7 linked regions of the Daphnia pulex genome follow. The protein of the gene in region 3 purifies or fractionates together with the protein of the main gene of each other region. This does not show direct contact. Links are inferred from orthologs where the notes say so. Each region holds a gene or a part of one and is shown on either strand. Other genes may lie near its edges. The genes, in order: src substrate cortactin-like, cyclin-dependent kinase 1-like, hsp90 co-chaperone Cdc37-like, serine/threonine-protein kinase grp-like, mitogen-activated protein kinase kinase kinase 7-like, serine/threonine-protein kinase B-raf-like and eIF-2-alpha kinase GCN2-like.

Region 1 (4,188 bases), on a different chromosome or scaffold from region 3:
TCAACAGGCTGCATAAGATAGATTGGTCGGTTGGATCTCGGCACAATAATCATAACAAAGCATTGTGATTTGAGTCGGCAAACAACATCTAATTATTGGTTCTTAATTAAATGCAGATAAGGGATAACTTGCAATTCTCTTTCCACAATAATAGGCAAGAACGATGTTTTTCCGTCACACATTTTCATCAAATCAACTAATCTGTAATAAGTAATGTTTTTCTTCACCGCGTTGTGAATACTGACTGGACAACAATACACGAATATAACGCCACGCGTAAAAAGAACCGCCATATGGTTGGCTTACGAGATAAGGAAAATTCTTGGAAAGAATGCTTAACAATTGGGAATAAAAAAGAACCTTGGATTGTTGGATAAAACCTGGAAGACGAAAAAAACTGGATAGGGTTTCACTGTTGCAGTTGGACGTAATTAGCGGGAAATAATCCTATCTGTCCTCTACACTCCCCTCGCCACCAACCTTCATCGATCTGCACAGCAAAAGAGTTGGTTAGAAACTAAACACATTTTATAAATTAATAAACATTACCATTTCGATGTTGACAATGACTTCATCCGGGTCAAAGGAGAGCTCGTCTTCTGCAGCAGCTTGGTAATCGTAGAGGGCGACTGCAATAAGACCGGATCCAGTTTCTTCCGCAACTGTTTCTAAATTCGAATTCTCTTGGACGTAGCCTATCTCTTCTTCGTCTTTCCAGGCGTCATCCTGCTCATCCACTTGCTCCCTCCACGCTCCATCATCCACTTCTTCGACAGCTTCGGCCAGATCATCGTTCCATCGTTCAAGGGATTGCGCGATATGTTGTTGAGTTTGTGCCGGAACAGGTGGAACGACAGTCGGTGGAGGTGAAGGCGACCTAGCAGGTTCTGGAACTGGAGAAATCACAGGACTTTCTCGGATGACTGGCTCTGGTATAACAGGCGACTTGGCTGGGAGGAATTGGTTTTGTCGGACAGGTTTTTCTGTTTGGGGGATTTGTTTAATGGGTGGCTCTGTTTGAGGCGTCGACTGTGTTTCGAATTTGTGTGCTATCTTAGCCATTGGGCGGGGATTCTTCGGTGGAGGAGGAACAACCTAAAGAAATGAAAAATGATGTAATACATTTGTTTGTAATAAGAAACTATCAAACGTTTACCATGGCTGCTTTCTTGTTTTCTTCAGCAAAATTTTCAAAACGGGATTTCAGCAAAGACGCTTTACCTTTCTCTATGGAACCAAATGAGTTTAATAAATTCAAACCAAGAAAAACTTAACGGAAATTTTTATTGTTACCCGCAATAACTGGCTTATCCTTCTCGTAAGTAGTACCAACATGACCTTGTTCTTCATCAAAACCGACGGCCGCTGCATCTTGTCTATCTGTTTGAACACCAAATTTTCCTCCGAAACCTTTTGAACCATCTACTTGGCTCTCATGTTTCTCTACTTTTTCTTGGTAATCATAACCAACAGCACTCTGTCACAAAAGATAAATTAAGAAATTAGTTGGATTACAATAACATTGCATTGGTAGGTTATACTTTATCGACTCGATCAGCCTGGACACCAAATTTACCACCAAAACCTTTATTTCCATCCACCTGACTTTCATGTTTCTCCACTTTTTCTTGATAATCCCAGCCAACTGCACTCTAAAAATTGCACTTCAATAGAAAAAATTCCTTTGTTCAAACAGTTATAGAATTTGTTACTTTGTCGATGCGGTCGGTTTGTACGCCGAATTTCCCACCAAAACCTTTGGAACCATCTGTTTGACTTTCATGCTTTACCAACTTCTCCTGATAATCCCAACCAACAGCACTCTATTTAACCGATCCAAATAAAACGTGAGAAAATAGTGGGCATAACTGTAAAGTAACTGAAATAAAACAATAATGCGCATATTTTAATGAAATACCTTATCAACTCGATCAGTTTGAACTCCAAACTTGCCGCCAAACCCTTTGGCAGCATCTGTTTGACTGCCATGTTTTTCAACCTTGGCTACATAGTCATGCCCCACTGCAGACTTATCCATCCTTAATAAACAATAATAGTAAGAAATTGGAAAGATGTACAAAAAATGAATCCTGTTCTTACCTGTCCTTTTGAATGCCATATTTCCCACCAAAACCAGTGGTGTAATCTTTTTGAGAAGCATGTTTTTCAACTTTTTCGATATGTTCATGCCCGACTGCACTTTTATCCATACTGAAGAAACAAAAACAAAAGTTGATGAAATTCACATTTTAGTTTTCTAAGAAAAACATACCGATCTCCTTGTACACCAAATTTTCCACCATATCCATAAGATGCTTGAGGTCCTGCAGCCATTACCTTTTTCTTGAGCTCCAGATCTTCTTTAGTCGTTTGCTCTCGTAGAGCATTCATACTGTAAACATTGACAGAAACCGTTAACGTAAATACACAATGTCTTGAAGAAAACATTTATGCTCACTCAATAGCACCCGCAGTTCTTCCCCCACCCCATCGTTGTTCTTCTTCTGTTACGTTGTTAATATAATTGGGATCGGTATCCCATTCATCGTCATCTTGGTTGACAACAGGAGCCTTGATGCTGGAACCAACTGCTGATTTCCACATGTTATTACAATCTAGAGAGAAAAATAAATTTTAATTTAAAATTATTTGTGATAATTAATGATCTCTCTGACGTACAAATTCTTTAATAAATAGATATAATACTAATTTAAACCGGCTAAAAGTTGAGTCACACGCCCTTTCTATTTGATAAGAAGTTAAACAATCCGGATAGTTTATCTTGCAACAATGCCATTCGGAAATGAATTTTAAAAACTTATTTTTATTTCGTCATAAAATCTACTAATAATAATTAAAAAAAAAATTTAAATTGTTTCTATGAGTATAAAAGTGTAAATATCATTAATGAAAAGTTTGAAATATGATTTGGCGCAGCATAAAGATTCAAGCATGCACCATGCAGTCAATGCAGACGAAAACAGTAAACAAGAAATCATCAAACTGATTGTGTTGAGGCTTCAAACATCCTGAGAAAATGTCGACGAGAATGTAAGTCAAGAATTTCAAAGCTTAATTGGGTTCACTCAAAATTTATAATTAGTTACGATTAAAAAATCTAAAAATGTAGATATCCAGCTTTCAAAAGCGGTAGTCCTAAATTACGGGTGTTCCTACCTGACTTTTGGATGAAGCTTGTCAAACCGAGCCACAATTTGCTACCTAATCAAGTTCAGTTTGTTGTCTCATCACAAATGACCAAGCTTGATGTTAAACAATATCTTGAAAAAATTTACAACCTCCCTGTTGTTCATGTCAGCACCTACAACCAAATGGGTACGACAACATTATTGAGGTTAAAATAAGTGATGTTTTACTAACACTTAGAATAATTTTCTTTAAAGGGAAAACAAAAACTTTACCCAACACTTATGTCACTAAGGAAAATGATGAAAAAATAGCCTTTGTAACTCTGGTAATTTGAAAACTTATCTTGTTTAATGTTTCTTCAACTGTAACCATTTTGTTTTGTTTGTTTTTTAGCACAAAGACCACAAATTTGTCTTCCCAGAAATTCATGGCAGTACTGACATTTATGATGAGCAAACTAATACTATGAAACAGACAAAAGAATTGTATGCCCAGAAAACAAGCATTAATATTTCTAAACAAGGAGTGCCTACATGGTTTAGTCATTGAATTTGTAAAAAATTTGTTAGAATACAGTAATAACATATGGTTTATTTATTATTTTATTTCATTTGTATAAGATAAAAAGAAACTCCGGGTAGGCCTATGGCACGGTATTTGGTGGGGGGGGGGGGACTTATTGAAAATATTTTGCTTCGGAAAAAAAAGTGGCAGAAAGCAGAAAAGGGATTCCATAATTTTTCATTAACGTTGTATTGTATTACCCATTAACCCGAAATATTGAATAACTTTTAATAGTCTACATTTTTTCTCGTAACGCCAAACAAATAAGAACCAGATTAAATTTACAGATATGATAGTGGTTACCACCATTTAGCTTATTTTCCGCCCCAATGAGCCATAGGTCCATTGAAAGGATTCTTGATGCATTTATCCGAACTCAGATAAGCTGCAACTTTCTCTAGCCCTCCGATTCTCGCGTGAAATTCTTTCAGATTTGGGAATTCATCAATTGACCCAGGAATCATTTGAGAGTTC
Region 2 (3,418 bases), about 5.3 Mb from region 3:
ACATTTATTATCAAGTGGGGGACATAGTTTCAGTCACAGATGAAGATGATGGAGTTTATTATGCACAAATTCGTGGGCTTCTGCAAGACCAATTTTGTGAAAAAAGTGCTGTATTAACTTGGCTCATCCCAACTCAAAGTTCACCACCCCCAGATGTGGGATTTGATCCACAGACATATATTTTAGGTATGTGAATTTTATATTTTTTTTTCTGTACAGCATTAAAACAGTCTTGGTTTAGGTCCTGAAGAAGAATTGCCACGTAAGCTGGATTATCTTGATTTCGTAATGCATGCGCCGAACGAATATTACAAACTGGATGAAAATGTTCGAGTGTCTAGTGAAAAAGAAGCTGGCTATATTTGGACAAGTATGGGTGCCGTACGAAGAACTATTCATTCATGAAAAATTCCACCAGGATCATCCGTTTATAGTAGAATAGAAAGACCAAGGCAGCCGGCTCTTTTGTTCTTTGTGTCTTTTAATGCCATTACAGATTCGTTTGTAAAACAATTCCATCATTTCTGAAGTTTGTAACTAAAAATATTTGTCACATGTTCTGCTACCTCACTGAAATTCGGAGGAAGAGTAAATTAAATTGTTTGATCTGTTTTAAGTGTTCTTTTCTAAATTTTTAAGAGTTTTCACAATTTTAGTAAGATATTTTCGAAAATTACATGTCGGAAATTATAGAAGATTTTTTTACCTGCTTGCACGGCTTTCTTAAAAATAATACTTGACCATTCCTGCATTACGGCTTGCCTTGCGGGTAACAATGTTTTTAGAAATTATTTTGTGCTGAAATTTTGAGCTGAAATATTTTCTAGTCTACCGGTAAAAATGTTTCGATTATAGTGGTAATAAACAGTTCATTTAAAATATAATGATATTTAAAAATAATATCGATAATGTTAATGAGTTTTTCAAACTTGTATAAGTTGTATGGGTTTTTATTCATTCATAATACTAGCGTCATTCGAACTAATAGACAATTATAACTTGAAATCACCAGCGGGAATTTGTTATTTTAATTTGAGTTTTAATTCAAAACCTTAAAAAAGTTTAAAAGAACTATAACAAATTCGAAATCGTATAGTAGGTTCGTCAAATACATCCATTTTGTCCAATGGGTTTCTGATTATCACCCATAGAGGGCCGTGATTCTGTGAAGTGATGAAGTCGTTTCAAAATTTGGCGGTTACATTCCTTAGTCCAACGGCCGCCACCGTCTCTTTGACATCCAAGTGTGCTCACCTTTTCCTTTAAAGTCGAGTCTGTGGAAACACGTTGGGTACGAACTTTCTTTACTTTGTTAGATTATTCTCTGTTTATCGTGTAACGAAATATTTTATGCAAGAGTCTTACGAATCAATTGATGACAATCTGATTTGCAGGTGGAATACGAAGAATACGTCACTCCAGTTTTTGTTTGCTGCCATTCGACTTCAAATTTCCGTTACTTTCCCGAGATTTCAATTCTTCACACTTTTTGGTTTTTGTTCTTGTTTCTTAACAAACAATAGTGATGCCTTCTGCAATGGAAGACTTTACCAAAATAGAAAAGATCGGTGAAGGTAATGATCCCTGGTACACTAAGCTGTGTAACTTGAACTGATTTTAAAACTTTTGTTTCGCAAAGGTACTTATGGTGTTGTCTACAAGGCTAAAAACCGTAAGACTCAACAATTTGTTGCCATGAAGAAAATCAGGCTTGAAAATGAAGATGATGGTGTTCCTTCGACAGCCATCAGGGAGATATCACTTTTGAAAGAGCTGCTACATCCCAATATCGTCTGTCTGGAGGATGTTTTGATGCAAGAAGGAAAGCTGTATTTAATTTTTGAGTTCCTGTCAATGGACCTTAAAAAGTACATGGACAGCATTCCAACTGGGCAGTTGATGGATAAAACTCTTGTTAAGTCTTATTGCCACCAGGTTTGCTTAGAAGATTTAGGACTCATTTATATATTGGCCTGATTTATATTTTCCCTCTAGATTTTGGAAGGCATTTTATATTGTCATAGACGTCGAGTTTTGCATAGAGATTTGAAGCCCCAGAACTTACTCATCGATAAAAACGGAATTATTAAGATAGCTGATTTCGGTCTTGGGCGCGTATTTGGAGTTCCCGTTCGTGTCTACACTCACGAGGTAAAGGAAAGAAGGTTCCCAATGCATGGACGTATACTATAAATTCTTTTGAACTCACGAAGGTTGTTACTCTATGGTACCGTGCTCCTGAAGTATTGCTTGGGTCATCAAGATATTCGTGCCCCATAGACGTGTGGTCGGTTGGCTGTATTATGGCTGAAATGATAACGAAAAAGCCATTGTTCCAAGGAGATTCGGAAATTGATCAGCTTTACCGTATTTTCCGGTAGTGTTACTTGTCCTTTTTTTTTTATTTTTAAAATTACATTTGTTCCTATTTTATTTGAAACACAGAGTAATGAAGACGCCCACGGAGGAAATGTGGCCAGGCGTTTCAAAAATGCCCGACTATAAACCTACTTTCCCTAATTGGAATACTTACCACCTTCAAAATTCCGTGAAGCAACTTGACTCGATTGGATTTGATCTGCTTCAAAAAACTCTCATTTACGATCCAGCCCTTCGTATCACGGCTCAGGATGCTTTAGATCATGCTTGGTTTACCGATCTGGATAAATCTATCTTACCCACCAATGTGCCTGCTTAATTAAGCATTCCTCATGTAAACGATAGCTACTAAACCTGGCCAACTTCCTGATGGTCGTTTCTTGAAATTCTGTTTTTCGCTTTTCCTAATCATCATTTTTTTTGCTCTCTGAGAGAAGATGGGTGTGATTCTTTTCCTTGGTAGCGAAGAAATTTTCTTCCCCCTTGTGTACGTGTGACTGTATACTATAGTTTCCTAATAAATATGCTCACGAGGACTACATCAGAAAATTGTAATTTAATTGGGAGATGTTCATTTTTATTTTTTATATCAACGTTCTGAATTAAATTGTCAACAATGTGAGTTTTTCGTTCAGCGACAGTTGAGTCTTGGTAAGTTGTGATAGATATAATACCATCAATAAATCCTAAATTAATAAAGTTTTACAAAAATTAGATTAAATAAGTAAATATTGGGTAATGTTTTCTACCTTTCGGTTTGAATTAAGCATCTCTTCAAATTCGTCGGGTGTCATTTTAGGTACCGAATGAACCATATCTAATAGAGAACGACCAAACGTGTTGTCAGCCGTTTTGGAGCCACTCATTACGTCGTCAACATAAGCCAAGATAGTGTCCAGCATGTTTTCCATCTGCTGCGAGGCTTCAACAATCTGAGTAAGATCCGAAGCGATGCCCGCTTGACGTTTAACCGAGGTTTTGGTTTTCTGGCAGGCATTTACTGAAAAACAATCAAAGATTAATTCCCAGTATACATACA
Region 3 (3,542 bases):
AATGAATGGAAAGATTTAATCATAGAACCATTTAAGGACCCATCTGAGAATCAATTTTTTAAGAACGAACTGTCTGAAATTGAACAAAAAGCTAACGAACGAGTAAGAGAATTTCGCCCACGTTTAGAAACATGATTTGTTAAAGCCTACAACGGAATGCTTTTTTCCATAGTACAAATGAAGATATGACTCTCAAAAGAAACGACATTCGAAGGAAAAAAAGAATGCATTTGAAGGAGGACTCAAAAGGGAGTTACTCCCAGGTGAAAACAGAGTACTGCGCGATGCTGACTACGCAACATGTGAAGTCACAGCAACAGATATAGAAAGAAGTTTAGCACGCAAAAAATCAACTTCTCACAAAAACCGTCATTCACAAATAAGCGCTATTAGTTTACACAAAAAATTACTTTTAGTATTATTCGAATTACTTTAATTGTCTTTTAATGATTTATTTTAAGTTTATGGTAACCGCCATAAACTCCGTGTTAAACACGGCTCGAAGCCTCGAACATTTTGTCGCGCTGTTAAATTAATTTTAAAATAATAAATGTTAACGAAAATGTAAAAAATTTGTAACACATTTTTATCAACAGTGTTGTGGCCGATATTTTTTTTTTACCGCGAGCCCGGCCCGATTAACAGAAACAAACATCATGTCAAGGTCGTGATCTTTTTTGCGATCGCCGCTAGATGGCAAGGGGAAATGATTACCAACGTTTTCAAGAATCAAGACAAAGCACAAAGCAATTTGCAAAAATACATTTAATCACTGAAACTTTATAAACTTTAATGTATAACAATAATTTTTTATATAAAAATAAAAACAATAATTTATTGGTGGTGCTATTTAAAAAAAGGGTTTTTTTATTAATTAAAGATAGCGACGATCGCAAATCTGATCGAGCGATTTCTGGCCTGCAATTCCGATCCCGGTCGCGTTTTTCAGTTTGGATCGCGATCGCTAAAAATTTACCGTGGTCGTGATCGCACGATCGAACGATTGCAATCGTCACGACATTTTTTATTAATAAAATAAGTATCAGTTTATAATGAATAAATTTTTTGAATTAAGACCCCTATTTCCCGTATATAAATGTTTAATGGTTCATTTCTTTAAGATCCCACGCTACGATTTTGTCCGGGTTTTATTATGTAAATAGTGTGTAATGTGTCAATAATGTTCATTTTTCCTAAAGGCTAAAACTAAAACCCCCCTTTTTTTAGCTAAAATGGCCTTAGTAGAGACGAAGTTGCTTTAGTCCATTCAGGAACAAGCTCCACCCATCGCCAGAGGGGTGTACCTCTTTGGAGTTATCACTTAGGCAAAGGTTCAGTTTTCTGCCACCACTCTGTCGAGTCTACAATCGTAGATTCGTAGTGTTAGCGTTTAGATAATCTGTCACTTTCCACTTTTCCATTAAGTTCTTAACTTTATCGCGAATAAAATGGTAGACTACAGCAAATGGAAAAATATCGAGGTAAATTGTTGCTTCAAAAATGTTGTGTTGTTATTTTACCATATTTTTGCGGGTTCTCTAACCTTCTATTTATTGTCAGTATAGTATTTAATCGTAATTAAGTATCGTAATTAAGTATTCGTTATTTATATGTTTCATTTAAACACTCACGTACTTCATAATACTTTACAGATATCTGACGATGAGGATGATACACATCCTAACGTTGACACGCCTTCTCTGTTCAAATGGCGACACGAAGCTAGATTAGAAAAAATGAAGGAAATGGAACAAGAAAAAGCTCTGTTTCTCAAAGCAAAAAATGAGTAATGCTAAATAACTAGCTTTAATGTTTTTGTTAAAGTTTACATTAAATCAAACTTTTCTAACAAAGGAACACTGCCAAACTAAAAGAAGTTAAAAGTAAGTATGAACAGGTGATGAAAGAAGGTATTGATGTGACAGATTTGAAAAAGCAATTGAGTGAATTAGAATCGAAAAAAATTGAACTCGAAGATCATGAAGAACAAATGAAAAAAAAGGAAAAGTTGATGCCATGGTATTTAAAAGATTCACTTCAATATATCCTAATGTGATGTCTAATTTCAAAGTTTAATTGTGGTTTTTTTGCATATTTTTTTTAGGAATGTAGATACAATTAGTCAACCTGGATTTTCAAAAACTGTGGTCAATGTTGACCAACCCAAAAAAGTGAAAGAGCTCACTGAAGAGGAGAAAGAAATCAAAACACGTGAATTTTTCAAGAAACATGAGAAAAATCTTAAGGCATATGGAATGCTACAAAAGTATGATGATAGTAAGCGTTTCCTTCAAGAAAATCCAGAGCTGGTTTGTGAAGAAACAGCAAACTATCTCGTGATTTGGTGTATTAATTTAGAAATGGAAGAGAAAACAAGTTTAATGGAACATGTTGCCCATCAGTGCATTTGCATGCAATTCATTCTTGAATTATCCAGGCACCTTAACAGAGATCCAAGATCATGTGTGTCTTCATTCTTTTCAAGGTTTATCTTTATATTAAGTTGTCCTTTATGTAGCTATAACTAAATGAATTGTTTACTATTTTATCTCTTTTAGAATTCAAATCGCAGATGTTGAGTATCGTAAAGGATTTGAAGACGAACTTGTAGCTTTCAAAGACCGTATACAACGGCGGGCGAAAGAGAAAATAGAAGCTGCAATTGCCGAAGCTGAGGAGGAAGAAAAGAAAAAACGACTTGGTCCTGGAGGGTTGGATCCCGTTGAAGTATTTGAAAGTTTACCGGAGGTATAATTGAGCAAGACACATAAATTTCCTTCCACATATATGAATCATGTGTTTTGTTGTGTAGGTTCTTAAGGATTGTTTTGAAAAACAAAACATTGAGCTTCTTCAACAAGCAATTTCAACACTACCTGAAGAAGAAGCACGGTTTCATATGAAAAGATGTGTTGACTCCGGATTGTGGGTACCCGACGGAAATGTTGCTGGAAATATTGCAGAAAATGTTGCAGAAAATTAAAATACTAGTTTGGATTATTATATTCATTAATAATGAATTAATACACTGGGGCTTTTGAATAACGTGTATTTGACGTTTTTACCTCCAGTTTCATACTCACCTCACTTTAAAATTGTAAAGTTAAAAAGCCTTAAGAACAGACAAGTTACTGCTATAAAAACATACGCTAGTATTCTTCAGTCTGGAATTGCGACTCTTCCACTTCGTATTTAATGTTGTCAGGATCATATTGATTATAGCCATCATATTGTTGGGCCGTATAGTCATAATCTGCAAATTTCAATTCCACAAATTAGTAATAGATATTTTTCATTAACAGCTAATTCCAATACCATCAGGCGGTTCTTCCTTCACTCGCACTTGTTCACCATCCTCCCGAACATAGTCCCTACGCTCTCGTTCCCTGTGAAAAATTATTCATTAAATTCTGAAGTTGAATTCGATAATTTGATTGCTTACTTATCCTTGTAACGATCGCGACGTTCCCGGCGATCCTTGTTCTTGTCTTTAACTCGATCTTTTTCTTTGCGACGCTCATCGCCAGAAGCGACTTGACCAG
Region 4 (3,963 bases), on a different chromosome or scaffold from region 3:
GGAATGGCAAGTCCTGAAAATTAAGCTGTTTTATGAAACTACAATTAAAAACTCATGCTTTTTCTAGGCTGTTGCTGGCCTTTTAGCTGATTCCAGGCAAATTGTGGAAACTGCCAGGACAGAAGCTTCAAATTACCGTGCTGAATATGGAGGCAATATTCCTGTCAAAGTATATTCTAGCATTGGATAATTTTGATCATTCAGCTAAACTTAATATTTTTAAAAATTAGTATCTGGCAGATCGTGTTGCCATGTACAAGCATGCTTACACTCTGTATTCTGCTGTGAGGCCATTTGGTTGTTCTGTTGCTCTTGGATCTTATGATGAAATTGATGGCCCTCAGCTTTATATGGTGGATCCATCTGGAGTTTCCTTTGTATGCTCACTTTTTCCACCAATTTTTGTTTATGATCTAAAAAATATCAAAATTGTCCATATTTTAGGGATATCTTGGATGTGCTATGGGGAAAGCAAGACAGGCTGCTAAAACAGAAATGGAAAAGCTCAAGCTTAAGGATATGACCTGTCTAGAACTCATCAAAGAAGCTGCCAAGATGTTAGCTCTTTTTTTAACTATTTAATTCAGGTTAATAATTGGCTTTTTTTTTGTACATGCAGCATTTACATTGTCCATGATGAAGTCAAGGATAAACATTTTGAACTGGAGCTGAGCTGGGTAGGTGCTGTCACCCAAGGACGTCACCAGAAAGTCTCTCAGGAGGTGTTTGCTGAAGTTGAGCGATACGCAAAATCTGCACTTGAAGATGATTCAGATTCTGGCAATGATGATATGTGAAAATGGGAAATGAAAGAAGGGACCCGAGTTAATACACTTTGGAATACAATCGTCTTTAATTTGAATTCAAATGAATAATATCCAAAGTTCGCTAACTCCACCTAAATCCAGGTGTAGACCAAGCTTAAGTGTCTAACATCAAGGATTAGTTAAAATTGGAGTATTGTTGCCTAAATTTATATTAATTGCGTAGGGAATTTAACGGAGAATCCTATTACGTATTCATGTATCCGTACATGAAACTGAAAAATAAAATGACATAAATATGTTCACCTTTTTCATCATAACTCTTGTCATAACATTTTTCTAATAATTTTAGAGTATTCGTACCTTTTCTAATATTTTTTACGACGTTCAAGTTTGATTGATATTGTGTAATTTATATTTTACGATTTTAATTCTGAGAAAATTCATACGTGGTTGTGGCGCACATGCCACACCTTTTTACGAACGCACCCCATAACTGGGCGGCAAACAACAGAAGCCAAACAACAAGCTGACGAAAACTAGCGAGTCAAAATGCTTACACCTGTTTTAACATTTTATTAGGAAAATGAATTGGTGCAACTTGTTAAACTAGACTGGAAACTGTGTCAGTGGTAATTTTGTAAAGCAGATCTTCCCTACACCAAAAAGAAACGGAAAAAGTGGTATTTTTGCGATATTTTGTATTCCATTTTAAAGTGTCTAAAACAGCTTGTATCTTTTCAGTTAATCTCGTTGTACAATACATATTTATTCAATCATGGAAGACCAAAGTAAAAAATATGAAGGAAAAAACAGTGTAATTGAATTTGTAGAAGGCTGGGATATGATTCAGACACTGGGTGAAGGAGCTTTTGGAGAGTAAGAAAATTGTAAGAATCATGCAAAATATATAATTTAACAAATTTGTTCTAGGGTGAAACTATTAGTTAATGCCAAAACAGGTGAAGCAGTTGCAATGAAAGTGATTGATCTCAAGAAGCACGCAAATGCTGCTGAAACAGTCAAAAAAGAAGTTTGTGTGCACCGGATGTTGAATGATGTGCACGTGATAAGGTTTTATGGGAGAAGGGAAAATGGCAATTTTGAATTCATTTTTTTGGAATATGCATCTGGTGGAGAATTATTTGACAGAATTGGTAATATATTAATTTTTAAAATAATACTGTCTGCAATGATAACCTGTTACTCTAATTTCAGAGCCTGATGTGGGAATGCCTCAAGTAGAAGCTCAGCGCTATTTCAAGCAGTTAATTGCTGGTGTAAGCTACTTGCATAGCAGAGGGTAATTATCATAACATAACTCAAGTTTTTTCATCATTTTTTAAACAAATGTCCCCTTAAGATTATTTTACCAAGACGCTTTCGCGAATCTCGAACATACAACATTTCTTCTATATTTATTATAGGATTGCTCACAGGGATATAAAGCCGGAAAACTTGCTTTTGGATGCCAATGACAATTTGAAAATATCTGATTTTGGAATGGCAACAGTTTTTCGATTTCAAGGTCGAGAAAGGCATCTGGACAAGCGTTGTGGGACGTTACCTTACATCGCTCCTGAGGTTCTCTGTCGCAAGTACGCAGCAGAGCCAGCCGATATTTGGTCTTGTGGCGTCGTTCTTGTTGCCATGTTAGCCGGAGAATTGCCTTGGGATGTCCCATCTAATGATTGCCCTCTCTACACATCCTGGAAGGAATGTCAGATCACGCGATTGCCATGGACCAAGATTGATACATTGGCTCTGTCATTACTCCGGAAAGTGCTGATGCCGTTGCCCGGGAAACGTTACACTATTCAGCAAATAACTAATCATCAATGGTTTCAGAAGAAATTCAAAGTTCCTAGTATGAAATCCTTGTTTACTATTTGATGCCTTTCTTAACTTCCGACTTCTCTGAATTGAAGGTACATCTCTACGGACAGAGGAAAACATGCCAGTCTCTAAACGCCTATGCTCTGACGTAGTGGATGCTGGTTTATCACCGCCCTCATCCGATGCAACCCATTTGTCCTACTCTCAGCCTGGACTTGGATTCTTCTCCGGTTCTCAACCTGTCCATCAAAACGACACTAACGATGATCAAGCCCCTAACAAGCATCTGCCAGGCGCGATGTTTAGCTTCTCTCAACCTGCTCATATCGACGATATGCTACTGAACTCTCAGCTGAACACACAAACTGCTTCGGGTTCAAGCATCAGTTCGCCTCTCCAAAGACTTGTCAAGAGAATGACTCGTCTTGTGGCAAAAGTTAGCTGTGAAGAAGCAATCAAACATTTGAGCCAACAGCTAATCAAACTCGGCTACACTTGGAAAATTCACACTCCTGGCGTGGTATAACAAATAAAATGCTTAAAGAATATTGTAGTATGTTAACGTTCTTTTTGCGTTCATAGGTAACCATATCCACGCAAGATCGACGGAAAATGCAACTCGTCTTCAAAGCAACGGTTTACGATATGCAGACCATGGTGTTACTCGACTTTCGATTGTCGAGAGGCTGTGGACTTGATTTTAAAAGACATTTCCTAGCAATTAAACATAAGTTGGCAGATATATTATGTTCTGCACCAGTTACTTGGTCCATTGCCACTGCTACAAATAGCATTCCTTAATCTTTCAATTGTAATATTGTTTTTAAATACCAATAATGTTGCATTACACTGATTCATATGTAGCACAAGAGTCGCTTTTATTTATTCTGGATGACAAGGGACTTACAGGAGAATTTGATCAAAAAGTATTAAGACTGAAAGCAATTAAAATGGAAATTCAAAAAATCCTGGAGGTTTGGAACACATTTAGAGATGAAAAATGAATTTAGGACCAAGTTCAGATACATTAATATTCTTGAGAATTGGCCTTTCCTTTAGCAGCCCCCTTGGAACCTCCTGCTGGGGCAGTTTCGGTCTTCTTGGGCAGCAGAACAGCCTGGATGTTGGGCAGCACACCACCTTGAGCAATAGTAACTCCTGAAAGCAGTTTGTTCAACTCTTCGTCATTTCGGATGGCCAACTGCAAGTGTCTTGGAATGATCCTAGAGAACATTTGGATTCAGCAAGATATTCAGACGCATAATTGAAATAAGGTTTCTACCTGGTCTTTTTGTTATCTCTTGCAGCATTTCCTGCCAACTCCAAGACTTCAGCAGCCAGGTACTCCATCACGGCAGCCAGG
Region 5 (4,053 bases), on a different chromosome or scaffold from region 3:
TTGAAGTTATACAACAAACACCTTTGGAGAACCAGTTCTAATTCAAGTATAAACTATAAAGCTATCTTCTAAACATATCCGTGTTGCTTGATTTATTTTCTGGAATTCTCGATACAAACTGATCATAATATAAAACTGTTTAATTGAGACATTACAGCTTTAAAATCAACATTATCGGGGTTTACGTTGGTAAACAAATCATAAGTTGAACAAATCACCTTTGGGTCCAAGATCTGATCTTCCAGAGGTCTACAGGTTATTTTATACACAAATATTAGACCTGATATCACAATTGAGATTCCTATGGGACAGAGCAAATGCCATGGCTTAAGCTTCTTTTCTTGATCCCCTAATTCAGGTTCTGGCTGAGTTAGATGATTCCATTTGTCAAGCAGACTAGTGATAGTGTTGTTCTCCTGTCAAGGATCAAAGAAATAATACTTGTAGGAGGTCAAAGTACAGTAACTGTTGTCTACCTGTACTCCAACATCCTGTCCTAAGCTCCCCATCCACCTCATGTTTGCATTTTTCAATATTTGGGCAGACATGTTGAGAACATTGAGGATTTCATTTTTCAGACGATAGAGCTTGGTCTGATTTTGAGTGATGTAAGCTATGCAAGAAGGACGCACACCTCCTCTTGCCTGAGAATCCTTCAAAGTAAAGTAATGAAGGATGGCATGGAAATTCTGAATGATGTTGGTCCGAATGCAAGGCACATCAGATATTTCATCCAACTTTTCCCTGTGGGATTAAAATAGTATGAAATAACCCAAAGAATTTTTGAATAATTTAAAATAAATACCCTGGAAAATTCTGATAATCTGTTGTCATTATGTAAAGAAGAAATTCATCCAGATTGAAATTCTCATTGTTATTCAGATGAGGTAGAACAGCTGGGATAGTCAAAACACAACGAGGCCCTTCGACTTCACAGAATTCGCTTATTAGAATAAAGTCTCTAATCGTTTGGCTACTAGCCATGTTATTATTGATTATTACAAAGACTTTTCATTAGGCTGTACAAGCAATTTAACGTGCAAATATTTATTTAAGTTACCCATACGAAGTAAGTACAATGACAATCACATTAAACCAACATTGTGTTGATTTTGAAAGACGAGTGAACTTTTGTCTTGGTGACAGTCCAGCAGGGACGTCTGCTAGGTGGTTCGTGGTGGTGACAAAATTTGTTGCTAGATGGCAGTAAAGAAGGAAGATCGGACCAGACGAAAAGTTTGATACGAAAAATTTTGTTTAACAAAACTTGTTTTTGGATTTGTAGTTGTGTAAATATAATTTGTAATCATGGATTCGTCAGAAACATTTTCTGGCGACTTAAAAACAATACCAGAAGACTTGGAAATAGATATAAGTGAAGTCGAAGAATTGCGGGTTTGTAACATTCCATTATTAAGTACTGATTTTATTTACACTAAGATTGGCTGCGTATCGTGCAGGAAATCGGACGAGGAACTTTTGGGGTGGTATACAGAGGTGTTTGGCGATCCAAAGTTGTGGCAGTTAAAAAAATTAACACATCAGCTGAACAAAAAACCTTCATGATTGAGATAAGGCAACTGTCAAGAGTATCACATCCTAATATAGTAAAGCTGTATGGAGCTTCCACAAAGAGAACAGTTTGTCTTCTCATGGAATTGGCTGAAGCTTCATTATATGATGGTAAATTCCTACAGTTTTTTACACTAGAACTTTAACTACATTACTTGAGTCTAGTTCTACATTGCCGCTCCAAGATATCTTATACCTTCCATCACGCTATGAACTGGGCTCTGCAGTGTGCAAGAGGAGTAGCTTACCTACATGGTATGAAGCCTTGTGCCATCATTCACAGGTGTTTTTTCTTACATTTAACTTCATTGGTGTGTAACTAAATTAATTTCATTGTGGGGGTGCTTACAGAGATCTTAAGCCACCAAACCTCCTATTAATGATGGAGGGTAGAGTTTTGAAAATTTGTGATTTTGGCACTGCATGTGACATGAGAACTCAAATGACTAATGGGCAAGGTAGTGCTGCATGGATGGCACCTGAAGTTTTTGAAGGTAACACTTAAGAAGATTTGCAAATTTCAAAATTATTGGCTCAATTTTCTTCTTTTCTAGGCAACCACTACACTGAAAAATGTGATGTGTTTAGTTGGAGTATCATTTTATGGGAGTTACTAGCCCGTCAAAAACCGTTTAGTCACATATTAGACTCGGCGTTTACCATAATGTGGGCCATTCACACAGGCAAGCGTCCCCCTCTTATAAAAGGCTGCCCCGTTCCGTTAGAGAACATAATGACCAGGTAATGATCAACCACTTTGGTGGAATGCTAATTTTTCAATCCATTTCTTTCTTTTTTTAAGTTGTTGGAATAAAGATCCAAACAACAGACCATCAATGGAGCAAGTCGTCAAAGAAATATCGCATTTGTTTCAATTCTTCCCTGACGAAATTCCACCCCTCGAATACCCTAACCAATCGGATTTGATCGAAGCTGGTGGTAAAATATTTTGCGAATTAATTGTTATTACCTTTTATATACATTCGGGACATGTTGAACAGGAGCCAGCTTGGAAAGTTGTGGCAGTGACCCCAGTTTGAGCAACTCTTCTTGTTCCAGTGCAGTTTTGACATCACTGCCTGTTCCTAGAACAAAGTACCACCATTCACCCGCTCGTCCTGTCACTCCCGCCCATCGAGAAGAAACAGACAGCTTACTGCCAGCTTTTAACCAACTGCTCAGCGAAAAGGAAAACATGCTGCAGCCAGGTCGTTCGCTTGTCACGCCCAGTAGCCTCAAGCTGCTTTCACCTAGAATAATAGGAGGCACTAGCACTGTTAGCGAGCCACTGCACCTAATCATTGGCGGAGAAAGCGACGAGTCAGCCGAAGGCTATGCCATACCGCCATTGGGCGAGGATTTCTTACAGGGTGGTCTAGGAAGAATGCAGTCACCTTATCAGCCACAGATGACTAATACGGCCAACGAAAGTATAGGGCAACTAGGGCCGTTGGAAACTCCCCGTCGACCTCAGCAATTCGATCATCCGTTCAAGAGAAGATCAGCGGAATTTCCTCACGTTGACATATGCGTCCCTACGTCTCCAGTACCGTCGTTTCCAGTTCTTCAACCCTATTCTTCCGGATGGAGCGGAGCAGAAGCTAGAAGAGTAGAAGAATCCGCAAATGTGAGCGTCATGGGCCACCGCAGATCCTCTTCACACGGGAATCCTTCCCAATTATGGACTGGTGTCACTCCACAGCAATCGATGCCTTGCATTTCAAATCTGCCTGGTCAACGTCATATTGGTGAGTAAATGTTTGAATCTATCCTGGTCAAAAATTACATGTCATGCAATCGTGACAGGTACAGTGGTACTTGTTGGGTCAATGTGCCGTGTAAAAATGTGACTCAGTTCCTAGTACGCAGTCGTTTGCATACTTAATGCGTGCGTCAGCACTGTGTGCATCACCCGACCAGTAGTTGGAACAGGCCGGAGCGTTGACACATTAACCCAGGAACGAAGAAAAAGAAAAGAAACAAATAGGAAAAGAAATGGAACGAACTAAATAGAGAGAGAGAGAGAGGAAATAGATAAGAGTTGGTATAGAGGCGGAATGCGATGCGCGGGTAACTTGGTCATGTTGCGCAACTATCGAAAAAATTCTTCCCGTGCAGAAACCGTAGTCGGTTGTTGTTCCAATGCGGATTTCGGCCGCAGACTTTTGTTTATGTGTTAAAATGTTGGTCAATCAGCATTCGATTTATTTTCCCGAGAAAATTCGATCACGCTTGCCCGATCAAAGTATTTGTTTAGAACGCTGGTGAAGGCTCGCGGTGATGATTCACACGAACACGGACAGGATGCGCACGCGGGATATTTTTAACGCACACATTTGCTATTAGCTATCGGACCCCCTCCGTCCTGGCCTTTTTTTTCTACAGTCGCTGCGCTCTTCTCCTTCTCTCTCGTCGTGTGCGGGAGAAAGAGAGAGGGAACCCAAGGTCTCGTTGGAAAGGGTCCTTCAGTCAACACGCTGG
Region 6 (4,232 bases), on a different chromosome or scaffold from region 3:
TGCCAAAGATGCTGATATTACACTTCTCACTATCACCCATCGCCCATCTTTATGGTGTGTTCAAAAAAATATCCAAAAATTCTGCTAGTTGAAATTACGCAATCGGATTGTATTTTTTGTAGGAAATTCCATACGCATCTGCTTCAATTTGATGGTGAAGGCAAGTGGACTTTGGAGCCATTGAATACTGAAACCCGGCTTACGCTCAAGGAAGAGAAACAGCGTTTGGAGGCGCAGCTGTCTGGCATTCCTCGTATACAGGATCGTCTGAAGGTGACCTTGCCAACTGGTTTGTGCCAATTTCGTGTTAACTAACAATTTTTTTACTTCTAACAACAAAAAACAGGAATTGTGCGTTCTTTTGGGAGAAGACTCGTCTACACAAGAGGAAGTGGAGTCCAACTCTTCCGATTGATTCAACCCATCAAATTCAGTTCAGTTTTTCATGTTTAGCTGAGGAAAAATCATTCAGCAAACTTTACCCTCTTAGTCAATTAATTATGAATTATGATTTAAAAACAACATGCGGTGTGATAGCGCGTTAGTCCCAGTCGCTCAGAAAACATATTTTTTGGGGTTCTAGGTTTAGATAGAATACTCCTTTTTTTTCAGTTTTTTTCAACAATATTTCCAAATTTAAATTTCCTTGTTAGTTTTTTTGTTGGCTGGCTGGAACCTAGAACCAGTTTCGATTCCTTCTCCCAATTGTACTAGTCCAATTTGACGGGCACATGTTTTCGGCATATTAACAGTGCTACGTGAAACCCCGTCGTTATTTTTAATTATTTAGTAAAATCCCTTGTTGTTTTGCAAATGACGGATCTTTACTGACATTTGCTCGAAATCGTTCATGATAGAAATTACTCCACATTTTCTTTAATCAGGGTCAAAATTGCTGATGATTACGAGAAGGAAGCCGCAACCGGAAAACATTTTTGTTGTTAGATTTTAAAAAAAAAAAAAAACCCTTTCACTCAGCAGCACCCAATTGAGACATAATATTTCAATTACGTAATTATCTTTAGTCACAATTGTTATTCAACTCGAAAGCCAGAAACATCGTGCCATCGTTTCAATTTGTGGAACTTTTATGGCTGGCCGTTTTTCTTTCAAATTTACGCGGTATTTTACCATGTCAGTCACTTTTCTTTAAGGGCATTGCTTGATCCTGTACAACTTGTTCTTTACTTGATTAGTTTAGTGAAAAATAAATAGATATGCTGTATATCAATATTTTAGCCTTCAACTCCACTCGCAGTTATTTACATAATATACACGCAATCGGCAGTTCCCATTTCCGCATAAACAATAAACAAAAGATCACGTGATTATAATAAAAAAAGTGATTTGATGCGTTGCCGCTAGATGTCGTTTCAAGTTTGAAGCCATCTAGCGCGATCGCCAAGACTTTGGTGCCCAGCGAATGAAAGGGAAAAAAATAATAAATGGAAGAAGAAGGGGGAGAGAAAAAAAATCGGTCCAAGATGGCCGTGAACGAGACTCTTCTCGGCAGTACAATGACGAATTTCACCCTTCCCAGCCCTAAAAGACATCGCAAATATGAAGAAACAGGAACGATTCACGATGAGGTGACTATCTATTTACAGTGTTGTTTGGTTCGCTCGAAGAATGACATCCAGGAAAGAGATCTCTGAGAAATGTCATTTCGTTTCACTTTCCACCGGGATGTTTGGCTTTATTCTTTTTGACGCTATCGAAGCATTCCATCTGCAAAATTAATTCATATCGAAGAGGACCATTCCCGAAAACAAAGTGCTCCAAAAAAGAATCCCAATGGTTTGATCGCTTTAAGTGGAAAAGTTTCTTGGGAACACTGTCCCACTGAATTGTTTTGATTCAGTGACAGCCTCAAAACAGACATTCAATATCATATCAATTGAGGTCCATCATTGAGCATCAACTTCAAAATGCCTACTTATCTTTTCAATAGTGTTTTGCTTGATACAAGGCTTTCTAATTCATTGTTTCTTGTGTTTTCTTTGCAGCTGCGGAACATTCAAAGTGTCATTCGCCTCACCAAAGAAAATATTGATGCGCTCAATGCACAGTTTGCTGGATTCCAACACCCACCCTTGATGTACATAGCTGTAAGTGCAATTCAGTTTTCTTTAGTTCCACCCCTCAATTTCCCTTCTGAAAGCTCATTTATCATCAAAAGTCGAATAAAACTACATTTGCAGATTTTCCATAGCGCAGCCAGTTTTTCCACTAAAACATAGCTGTCTTTGAACAAATCTATAATCTCTATGTCCTACTCATTTCATTATGACATCAGAATGACTTGGTTTTTGTTTTTCAATAGGAATACAATGAATTGACAAGCAAATTGCACGAATTCAAAGCCCGAGAGCAAGAACTCATCGAAAGAGTAAGCGCAGCTACGGCATCCAATGGACGACAAAGTCCTGGTGGTCACGAGTTGGAAGATTGTTCCGATGCTGAATTGCCACCACACCTCAAAACAGGATTTGGGCCAGATGGAGGTGGTCATCATCATGGACACCAGCAACAACAAATTCATCATCAACAACAAGCTCCCGGTCCGCCTTTAATTGCTATCCCTCCTCCTCCTCGATCACCTCTAAAGTCGGTAGTGCGAGCATACCTGCCCAACGAGCAACGGACGATCGTACAAGTCAAACCCGGCCAAACTGTGCGTGAAGCCCTTTCAAAAGCTATGAAGCTGCGCAAGCTGGACCCGTCCACGTGCGCGGTCTATCGATGCACACAGCCTGAGGTATTACAAAACAAGTTACACGCATAACAATAATGTCAATATTCCCCCATTTTTCTCCCCAAAGGTTAAAGTACAATGGGATGCCGATATAGCTTCAGTCGAAGGTGGAGAGATTCGTGTTAAACTTAAGGATAATTTCTCAGCCACAACCAGCATATCTCACAATTTCGTAAGTTTACAAAAAATCAGACGACATTGGTTTACATTTCAATCGTTAATTTAAAACTTGATTTGAAAAGGTGCGCAAAACATTCTTTTCTTTGGCTTACTGCGAATCCTGCCGACGCCTGCTCTTTCAAGGCTTCTATTGTCGGACGTGCGGATATCGTTTTCATCAGCGTTGCGCTGCAGCCGTCCCTCCCTTGTGCAATCCGGCTCACGTAGCCGAAAACACACTCCTACAGATGTGAGTAATCGTGTCGTAAAAGGAAATTGCGTTGGTACATCGTTGCGAGTCTGCTCTCATCCAATTTTCGCGTTCAAAAGCGTAGAGTGAAAATTTGATTGCATACCTAGAAGACCTTGGCCATAGTTTGAGATCAAAAGACTACGCTGAAGGTCTTCTAAGTACTTGGGAATTTTTTTTCTTGGAATTAAATTTAGGGGCGTTTTTTTGTCAGCAACAGAAACATTTTTGCTTTTACTTTTGTTAAATTATCAAGTTCCAGAAAGATTTAAAAAATGGCGAATTTCAAACATTCAATGACCTAATCCTGATTTGTATGGAATATTTGATAGGTTAATATCGTGTCCAGAGGGCCCCGTACCGTACCCGTACACAGCCGGCCTTACATACCCGCCGACATTCCAGCCGATGCAGATTCCTCGACGCCACCCTCCACCTCTAGCCCAAAGAGAACGATCAACATCGGCTCCTAACGTTTGTTACAATATGGTCGGCAATCAAGGCGGCATCGATACCGCGTTAGAGGATTGGTCCTATCGTATCAAAGCTCACAACCTTGCTGCAACAGGTACGCCAAATTTTCATTATTCTTTTGCAAGTGTTTTATTTATTTTTTAAATCGGCTTGTAAGATGAAGTGGCTGACTCCGTCTTAAAATCCCTAACATTGATTCACAATTTTTTGTTTTCGTTTTTATCAACCAAATTATTAAGTGCACGAAATTTTATTTTTTTTTTGCCTCGTTTACATTTGGTTTTCTTTTCTTTCCGTTTGCCTGTTGCAAATTTTCGTTAAATCCACACAAAAAAAAACCCGAAAACAAAACCCAAAACCATCGAATCCGCTGTGTGTGGGGAATCCTGCGTGTACACAAAACCACTGAAACCCGACCTTAAAATCCTCAAACAAAACAAACAAAAAACCACAGAAGCTGGCCTGATCAGTTTAACACGTTTGGTACAAAACGGCGGAGGCCGGAGCAACAGCAACAAAGGCTTGAATGGCATCCGGGAAGAGCAGCATGAGAATCAGCCCCCTGAGCCGCAACAGCAACAACAACAGGCGCAT
Region 7 (4,038 bases), on a different chromosome or scaffold from region 3:
GTTTCACTACTTTGTCCAGAAGTTGCAGGGTTCTGTGGTGGCTTACGAGAGAAAGGATTGGCAGGAGGGGTAACAATGGGAGATGCAGTAGTAGTCTCACTGTTTCTGTGTGGTGAAGGTTTTTTTGTCATAAACCTTGACTGTGTGAAGCCAAAAGATTTCCTTTCCATCCTCACAATAAATCAGTAAATTCTACTGAAAATTGTAAACCTGAAACACAATCAAACAACTCCCAAGTTAAATATGTGATCTAACAACAAAATCAATTTTTCGAAGTTATTTATACATTGCATTTAGAACCTCGTGGTTAATAAAAAATTTAATACAAGCGGAAAACTGGTAAGGTGTGAGATCTTTCTAAATAACACTAAATGAAAGAAGCACATATTTTTTGTCGTTAAAATACAGCAGCAGCATGATTACTTCAATTAAGTTTATGAACTACTATACTTTAATGATTTAATCCAAGTCACAAAAATAAGGTGAATATGCTACTTGTTCTTAAAGTGGGTGGTCGATAAATCAATCACAAACTCACGTGCTCTTTATCACGTGTTAGTTAAGTTATCACATTCCACAATAACATTACAAGGACCAATTAACTTACCAGATATATGAAAAAACATGAGAATGAGGATACTAAAAGTCAACTGTGTTTGTCCAGCACGTGAAAAATACTGACCAATTTGCCGCCCGAAACAAGAAAGTGAGGAACTGCTGATCAGCTGATTGGGCAGTGGGCTTAGAAACAAATGCACATCGCCTTAAACGTGACCCGTTCTTGAGTGTTGACTGTTGAGTGAGTCTGAGTCAAATTTGCTTATCACTGGAGTCACTCCGTTCACTAAAAAATGGTTTCAATTTCCAACTTACCTTCAGCTCGACAATAAGTTCTTCCTTTAGGTCCTACTTAAAAACTAAATATGAAATATAGTGACGATAATCACGTTGCGAGTTCAAGGACATCCAATGACCAAAAACTGAAAACCGAAAACGTCCCGAGGGTTCCACTTAATGGTTCCACGAATCCATTATCTTGTTATTCAATCAGTTGTTATAACGTTATCAATTATGCGTTTTCTTATTTATTCAATATAAAGTACAACTAATGTAATTTACAATTTATTTTCTGATTTTCTCCTTGTTCCAATTTTGCAATTTCTTTTTATTTATTATAGCGCCACTAGCACACAGGCGACACAACGTTCTAGCAATTTCGATAAGGTTATTTCGCCCGTCTGGCGGCGTCGCCTTCTGATGAAGTAGTCTGCTACTGCTTGAAATGTGCAAAGAAAATTAGTGATCCGAAGTTTGAAGTTGTTTTTACAATGGATTTAATGATTTGATGGAAGGAGGGAATAATTTTTAATGTATGGATGAACTTCTAAAATTTCTAGTGTTGCTCAACCAATCTAGATAGATTCAGTGTGAACAACATTATGAGAAATCCTCATAGACTGAAAAGTACCACTGCGGAATCAATTACATTTCCATGACATTTCGTTCACATCGAAGAAGAACTTGAAAGAGAAATGAGTTTTCTACCCGTGCCTATAACTACCTTTGATGGAGGTCATCTGTTCAATTTACACTTGAAGCGATTTTTTTTAAGAGCTGATACCTTTTATGGTATTTATTTCTGAAGAAGATCTCACAATTCATCTTCGTTTTCTTATGATTTCAGGTCCAATAGAAGAATCCACTAGTCTAGCATCTACTCTCCGTCATCAGTTCCCGCATGTATTGCTCATAGAGTGTATGTTGGAAAGAATGTGTGCCATACACGAAACTGATTCAGCTAAGCAAAAAGAACTGTATGATGGTGAGTTCATTTCATTATCTTAATTCTATACCTATATTTCTAATGTTCTGTATATCCAGCAATAAGAAAATACTTTGTAAGCTCTCGTCTTCTACCACCAACTGCTGGATTCCCTGAAATGGCAGGAGTGAGATTGAAAATTTCTTCAGACTTGAATAAACTCTTTTGCCTTGCAAAACGTCAGATAGCTACAAGTAGGCAAACACCTATAACAGGTGGTTCATTGGTTGTTGCAAATCCATCTCCAGTTGCTGGAAATATTTGGTAACTACTTGTTCCATGGAAAACCCATTTTTAGCATCTAAGAGAGTTTTCATTATAAATTCTTAGGAGCTCAACTGATGGCAGTGAACATTTGTTTACATCGCGTTACCAGTTAGATTTCAAAGAAATGGAATTTATAGCAGCTGGTGGCTTCGGTGTTGTTTATAAAGCTTACAATTTTATCGATAACATGGAATATGCAATCAAGAAAATTCTGATCGGGTATTTTTTTGTGTTTTATTTCCTTATGTTTTTCTAGTTTGAAATAATAATAAAAAAAAAATTCGTTATTTCTAGGCCAAAATCTGCTGCCAAAATTCTTCGTGAAGTGCAACTTCTTTCTCAACTTCATCATCCAAACATAGTTGCGTATAAGAGTGCGTGGCTGGAATATTGTCCAACACAAACATTTCAGTACATATAATAATTGTTGCGAAACCTTCTTTTTGAAGTCCGAATAATTTTCAAATGTCGTTTATTACAGTGAGATCCTTCAGCATATGGATGACATCAGTATTTCTTCTCAAGACGACCGACTTTCCACAGTGATAAGCTCTTCCCAATCCCGTGAAAGAATTCGAAAATCATCGTTTCTAGATTCATTTAGTAGTAAGAAAAAAAAATAATTGAGCTATCTACTCTTATTAGTTAGGAAAGCTTATTTTCGTATGTTACTTGAAAGGTGATAGTGTTGTTTTTGAAAGTGAAACTCCAACGAATGTCTCTCCACTTGAAAGATGTCCTCCACAGACTCAGAAGTAAGTTTTCATTTTCAAAGAAGGCTTTGTTCAAGTCAGTAATTTTTCATTTCGTTCTCCAGTGGGATCGTTCAGCATGTTCATGATTTCAGTATTTCGTCTCAACACAGATCCACAGTAAATATTAGCTCATCCTTTTCCAGTAATTGTGAAATGGTTATTAGCTCCAATGGTAAGAAAACTAGACACTGCAATGATTATTCTTGTTATTGAAGCTTATGTTTTTAATAAGGAGAGAGCATTATATTTGAAGGTGATACACCGACGAATTCAACTTCACGTTGCTATTCTCAGACCCGTTGTGAAGTGGGTACGACAAATCACAGTGTCGTGTTGAGCAGCAACTGGCGTTTCAATCGATCTTTTCCATCTCCTGCGATGTTACTGTATATTCAGATGCAGTTATGTCCACAAACGTTGCGAAGTTGGTTGAAATATCGAAATGAAAGGAAAAGAGTGTTAAACAGCATAGATCTCGAGTTGTCGATATTCCGCCAAATCGTTCAAGGGATAAATTATATTCACAACAACAATATTATTCACCGCGATATAAAAGTATCATTTTTTAAACTAAATTACTAATTTAACTTACATGGTAAGTTCTGGTCTAATCTTAGCCGGAGAACATATTCGTGGATGCAACAGCGAATCAGGTCTTAATTGGAGACTTCGGGCTTGCAGTGCTTAACTTCACGAATGTCCCTAATAATGGCGCGATATCAACTAAAATTCCAGGTTGTAAGTTCGCTTTAGCTTGCACTTTCTGCTTGTGTCATGTCATTCCTTTCATGTATTATTTAATTAACTGAGCAGTTGGAACTTGTGCTGCTACTAGAGGAGTTGGCACTCAAACGTATGCAGGTATACATTTTTTATGACCTTTCCTGGACCTTGCATGTGTCTTTTATTCAACGCGTTATTAAGATTTCACTAGGTGTTGCAAAAAAAATAACTTCTGTCTGGAAAACGTGTGAGCTTTGTTTTATTTTGGCTGTCTGGGAGTCTGTTTTTTTTTTTGTTTTGAAATTAGTGAATTTCTTACTAAAATATTTAAATAATTTCGGAGAGGGGGTTGGTTCTATTTGTAACCAACTGATAAAAATAGATTTAAAATTTTGCATTTTTTTAGCACCAGAACAACTGGCTAGTCGAGAACCGGACGCTAAGGTTTGGTGAAGAAATATGAAAAACAAC

The links.
Region 1: the proteins of hsp90 co-chaperone Cdc37-like (region 3) and src substrate cortactin-like purify together in Homo sapiens (affinity purification with mass spectrometry; 3 studies listed by BioGRID and IntAct, with this or other methods). This does not show direct contact. The link is inferred for Daphnia pulex from reciprocal best matches to the Homo sapiens genes CDC37 and CTTN.
Region 2: the proteins of hsp90 co-chaperone Cdc37-like (region 3) and cyclin-dependent kinase 1-like purify together in Homo sapiens (affinity purification with western blotting; 3 studies listed by BioGRID and IntAct, with this or other methods). This does not show direct contact. The link is inferred for Daphnia pulex from reciprocal best matches to the Homo sapiens genes CDC37 and CDK1.
Region 4: the proteins of hsp90 co-chaperone Cdc37-like (region 3) and serine/threonine-protein kinase grp-like purify together in Homo sapiens (affinity purification with mass spectrometry; 3 studies listed by BioGRID and IntAct, with this or other methods). This does not show direct contact. The link is inferred for Daphnia pulex from reciprocal best matches to the Homo sapiens genes CDC37 and CHEK1.
Region 5: the proteins of hsp90 co-chaperone Cdc37-like (region 3) and mitogen-activated protein kinase kinase kinase 7-like purify together in Homo sapiens (affinity purification with mass spectrometry; 6 studies listed by BioGRID and IntAct, with this or other methods). This does not show direct contact. The link is inferred for Daphnia pulex from reciprocal best matches to the Homo sapiens genes CDC37 and MAP3K7.
Region 6: the proteins of hsp90 co-chaperone Cdc37-like (region 3) and serine/threonine-protein kinase B-raf-like purify together in Homo sapiens (affinity purification with mass spectrometry; 5 studies listed by BioGRID and IntAct, with this or other methods). This does not show direct contact. The link is inferred for Daphnia pulex from reciprocal best matches to the Homo sapiens genes CDC37 and BRAF.
Region 7: the proteins of hsp90 co-chaperone Cdc37-like (region 3) and eIF-2-alpha kinase GCN2-like purify together in Homo sapiens (affinity purification with mass spectrometry; 3 studies listed by BioGRID and IntAct, with this or other methods). This does not show direct contact. The link is inferred for Daphnia pulex from reciprocal best matches to the Homo sapiens genes CDC37 and EIF2AK1.

What each region holds. Positions count from the first base shown.
Region 1 is NC_060023.1:10,192,619-10,196,806, reverse strand, and holds the start of src substrate cortactin-like, read right to left. Parts: upstream 2,801-4,188; 5' UTR 2,680-2,800; intron 2,616-2,679; 5' UTR 2,605-2,615; coding exon 2,459-2,604; intron 2,393-2,458; coding exon 2,273-2,392; intron 2,212-2,272; coding exon 2,101-2,211; intron 2,040-2,100; coding exon 1,919-2,039; intron 1,824-1,918; coding exon 1,713-1,823; intron 1,653-1,712; coding exon 1,542-1,652; intron 1,478-1,541; coding exon 1,294-1,477; intron 1,228-1,293; coding exon 1,157-1,227; intron 1,096-1,156; coding exon 550-1,095; intron 491-549; coding exon 410-490; 3' UTR 1-409. Other genes in the region: 39S ribosomal protein L23, mitochondrial-like, read left to right, coding at 3,038-3,051, 3,131-3,336, 3,405-3,475, 3,544-3,699.
Region 2 is NC_060026.1:11,477,871-11,481,288, forward strand, and holds cyclin-dependent kinase 1-like, read left to right. Parts: upstream 1-1,140; 5' UTR 1,141-1,291; intron 1,292-1,394; 5' UTR 1,395-1,525; coding exon 1,526-1,574; intron 1,575-1,639; coding exon 1,640-1,935; intron 1,936-1,995; coding exon 1,996-2,151; intron 2,152-2,213; coding exon 2,214-2,377; intron 2,378-2,445; coding exon 2,446-2,698; 3' UTR 2,699-2,918; downstream 2,919-3,418. Other genes in the region: GATA zinc finger domain-containing protein 1-like, read left to right, coding at 1-186, 242-405; eukaryotic translation initiation factor 3 subunit F-like, read right to left, coding at 2,982-3,065, 3,129-3,379. UniProt on the Homo sapiens protein: Plays a key role in the control of the eukaryotic cell cycle by modulating the centrosome cycle as well as mitotic onset; promotes G2-M transition via association with multiple interphase cyclins.
Region 3 is NC_060026.1:6,136,961-6,140,502, forward strand, and holds hsp90 co-chaperone Cdc37-like, read left to right. Parts: upstream 1-1,322; 5' UTR 1,323-1,448; coding exon 1,449-1,481; intron 1,482-1,652; coding exon 1,653-1,786; intron 1,787-1,854; coding exon 1,855-2,019; intron 2,020-2,104; coding exon 2,105-2,485; intron 2,486-2,558; coding exon 2,559-2,748; intron 2,749-2,812; coding exon 2,813-2,983; 3' UTR 2,984-3,042; downstream 3,043-3,542. Other genes in the region: U1 small nuclear ribonucleoprotein 70 kDa-like, read right to left, coding at 3,150-3,253, 3,316-3,386, 3,443-3,542. UniProt on the Homo sapiens protein: Co-chaperone that binds to numerous kinases and promotes their interaction with the Hsp90 complex, resulting in stabilization and promotion of their activity. Inhibits HSP90AA1 ATPase activity.
Region 4 is NC_060028.1:8,546,400-8,550,362, reverse strand, and holds serine/threonine-protein kinase grp-like, read left to right. Parts: upstream 1-1,263; 5' UTR 1,264-1,447; intron 1,448-1,508; 5' UTR 1,509-1,542; coding exon 1,543-1,643; intron 1,644-1,697; coding exon 1,698-1,921; intron 1,922-1,982; coding exon 1,983-2,067; intron 2,068-2,191; coding exon 2,192-2,631; intron 2,632-2,692; coding exon 2,693-3,120; intron 3,121-3,182; coding exon 3,183-3,401; 3' UTR 3,402-3,463; downstream 3,464-3,963. Other genes in the region: histone H2A-like, read right to left, coding at 3,628-3,823, 3,883-3,963. UniProt on the Homo sapiens protein: Serine/threonine-protein kinase which is required for checkpoint-mediated cell cycle arrest and activation of DNA repair in response to the presence of DNA damage or unreplicated DNA.
Region 5 is NC_060025.1:3,027,484-3,031,536, forward strand, and holds the start of mitogen-activated protein kinase kinase kinase 7-like, read left to right. Parts: upstream 1-1,253; 5' UTR 1,254-1,308; coding exon 1,309-1,395; intron 1,396-1,460; coding exon 1,461-1,683; intron 1,684-1,737; coding exon 1,738-1,855; intron 1,856-1,923; coding exon 1,924-2,066; intron 2,067-2,126; coding exon 2,127-2,313; intron 2,314-2,374; coding exon 2,375-2,511; intron 2,512-2,542; exon of another isoform or gene 2,543-2,573; coding exon 2,574-3,320; intron 3,321-4,053. Other genes in the region: guanine nucleotide exchange protein smcr8a-like, read right to left, coding at 123-416, 477-744, 806-984. UniProt on the Homo sapiens protein: Serine/threonine kinase which acts as an essential component of the MAP kinase signal transduction pathway. Plays an important role in the cascades of cellular responses evoked by changes in the environment.
Region 6 is NC_060021.1:7,350,480-7,354,711, forward strand, and holds the start of serine/threonine-protein kinase B-raf-like, read left to right. Parts: upstream 1-1,432; 5' UTR 1,433-1,445; coding exon 1,446-1,589; intron 1,590-2,006; coding exon 2,007-2,108; intron 2,109-2,323; coding exon 2,324-2,758; intron 2,759-2,822; coding exon 2,823-2,927; intron 2,928-2,997; coding exon 2,998-3,164; intron 3,165-3,496; coding exon 3,497-3,732; intron 3,733-4,092; coding exon 4,093-4,232. Other genes in the region: ATP-binding cassette sub-family D member 2-like, read left to right, coding at 1-54, 123-273, 347-415. UniProt on the Homo sapiens protein: Protein kinase involved in the transduction of mitogenic signals from the cell membrane to the nucleus. Phosphorylates MAP2K1, and thereby activates the MAP kinase signal transduction pathway. Phosphorylates PFKFB2.
Region 7 is NC_060017.1:4,490,143-4,494,180, reverse strand, and holds the start of eIF-2-alpha kinase GCN2-like, read left to right. Parts: upstream 1-1,238; 5' UTR 1,239-1,532; coding exon 1,533-1,572; intron 1,573-1,682; exon of another isoform or gene 1,683-1,684; coding exon 1,685-1,822; intron 1,823-1,881; coding exon 1,882-2,086; intron 2,087-2,152; coding exon 2,153-2,308; intron 2,309-2,383; coding exon 2,384-2,500; intron 2,501-2,544; exon of another isoform or gene 2,545-2,570; coding exon 2,571-2,695; intron 2,696-2,761; exon of another isoform or gene 2,762-2,768; coding exon 2,769-2,844; exon of another isoform or gene 2,845-2,906; coding exon 2,907-3,016; intron 3,017-3,076; coding exon 3,077-3,399; intron 3,400-3,461; coding exon 3,462-3,582; intron 3,583-3,657; coding exon 3,658-3,705; intron 3,706-3,973; coding exon 3,974-4,011; intron 4,012-4,038. Other genes in the region: restin homolog, read right to left, coding at 1-170. UniProt on the Homo sapiens protein: Metabolic-stress sensing protein kinase that phosphorylates the alpha subunit of eukaryotic translation initiation factor 2 (EIF2S1/eIF-2-alpha) in response to various stress conditions.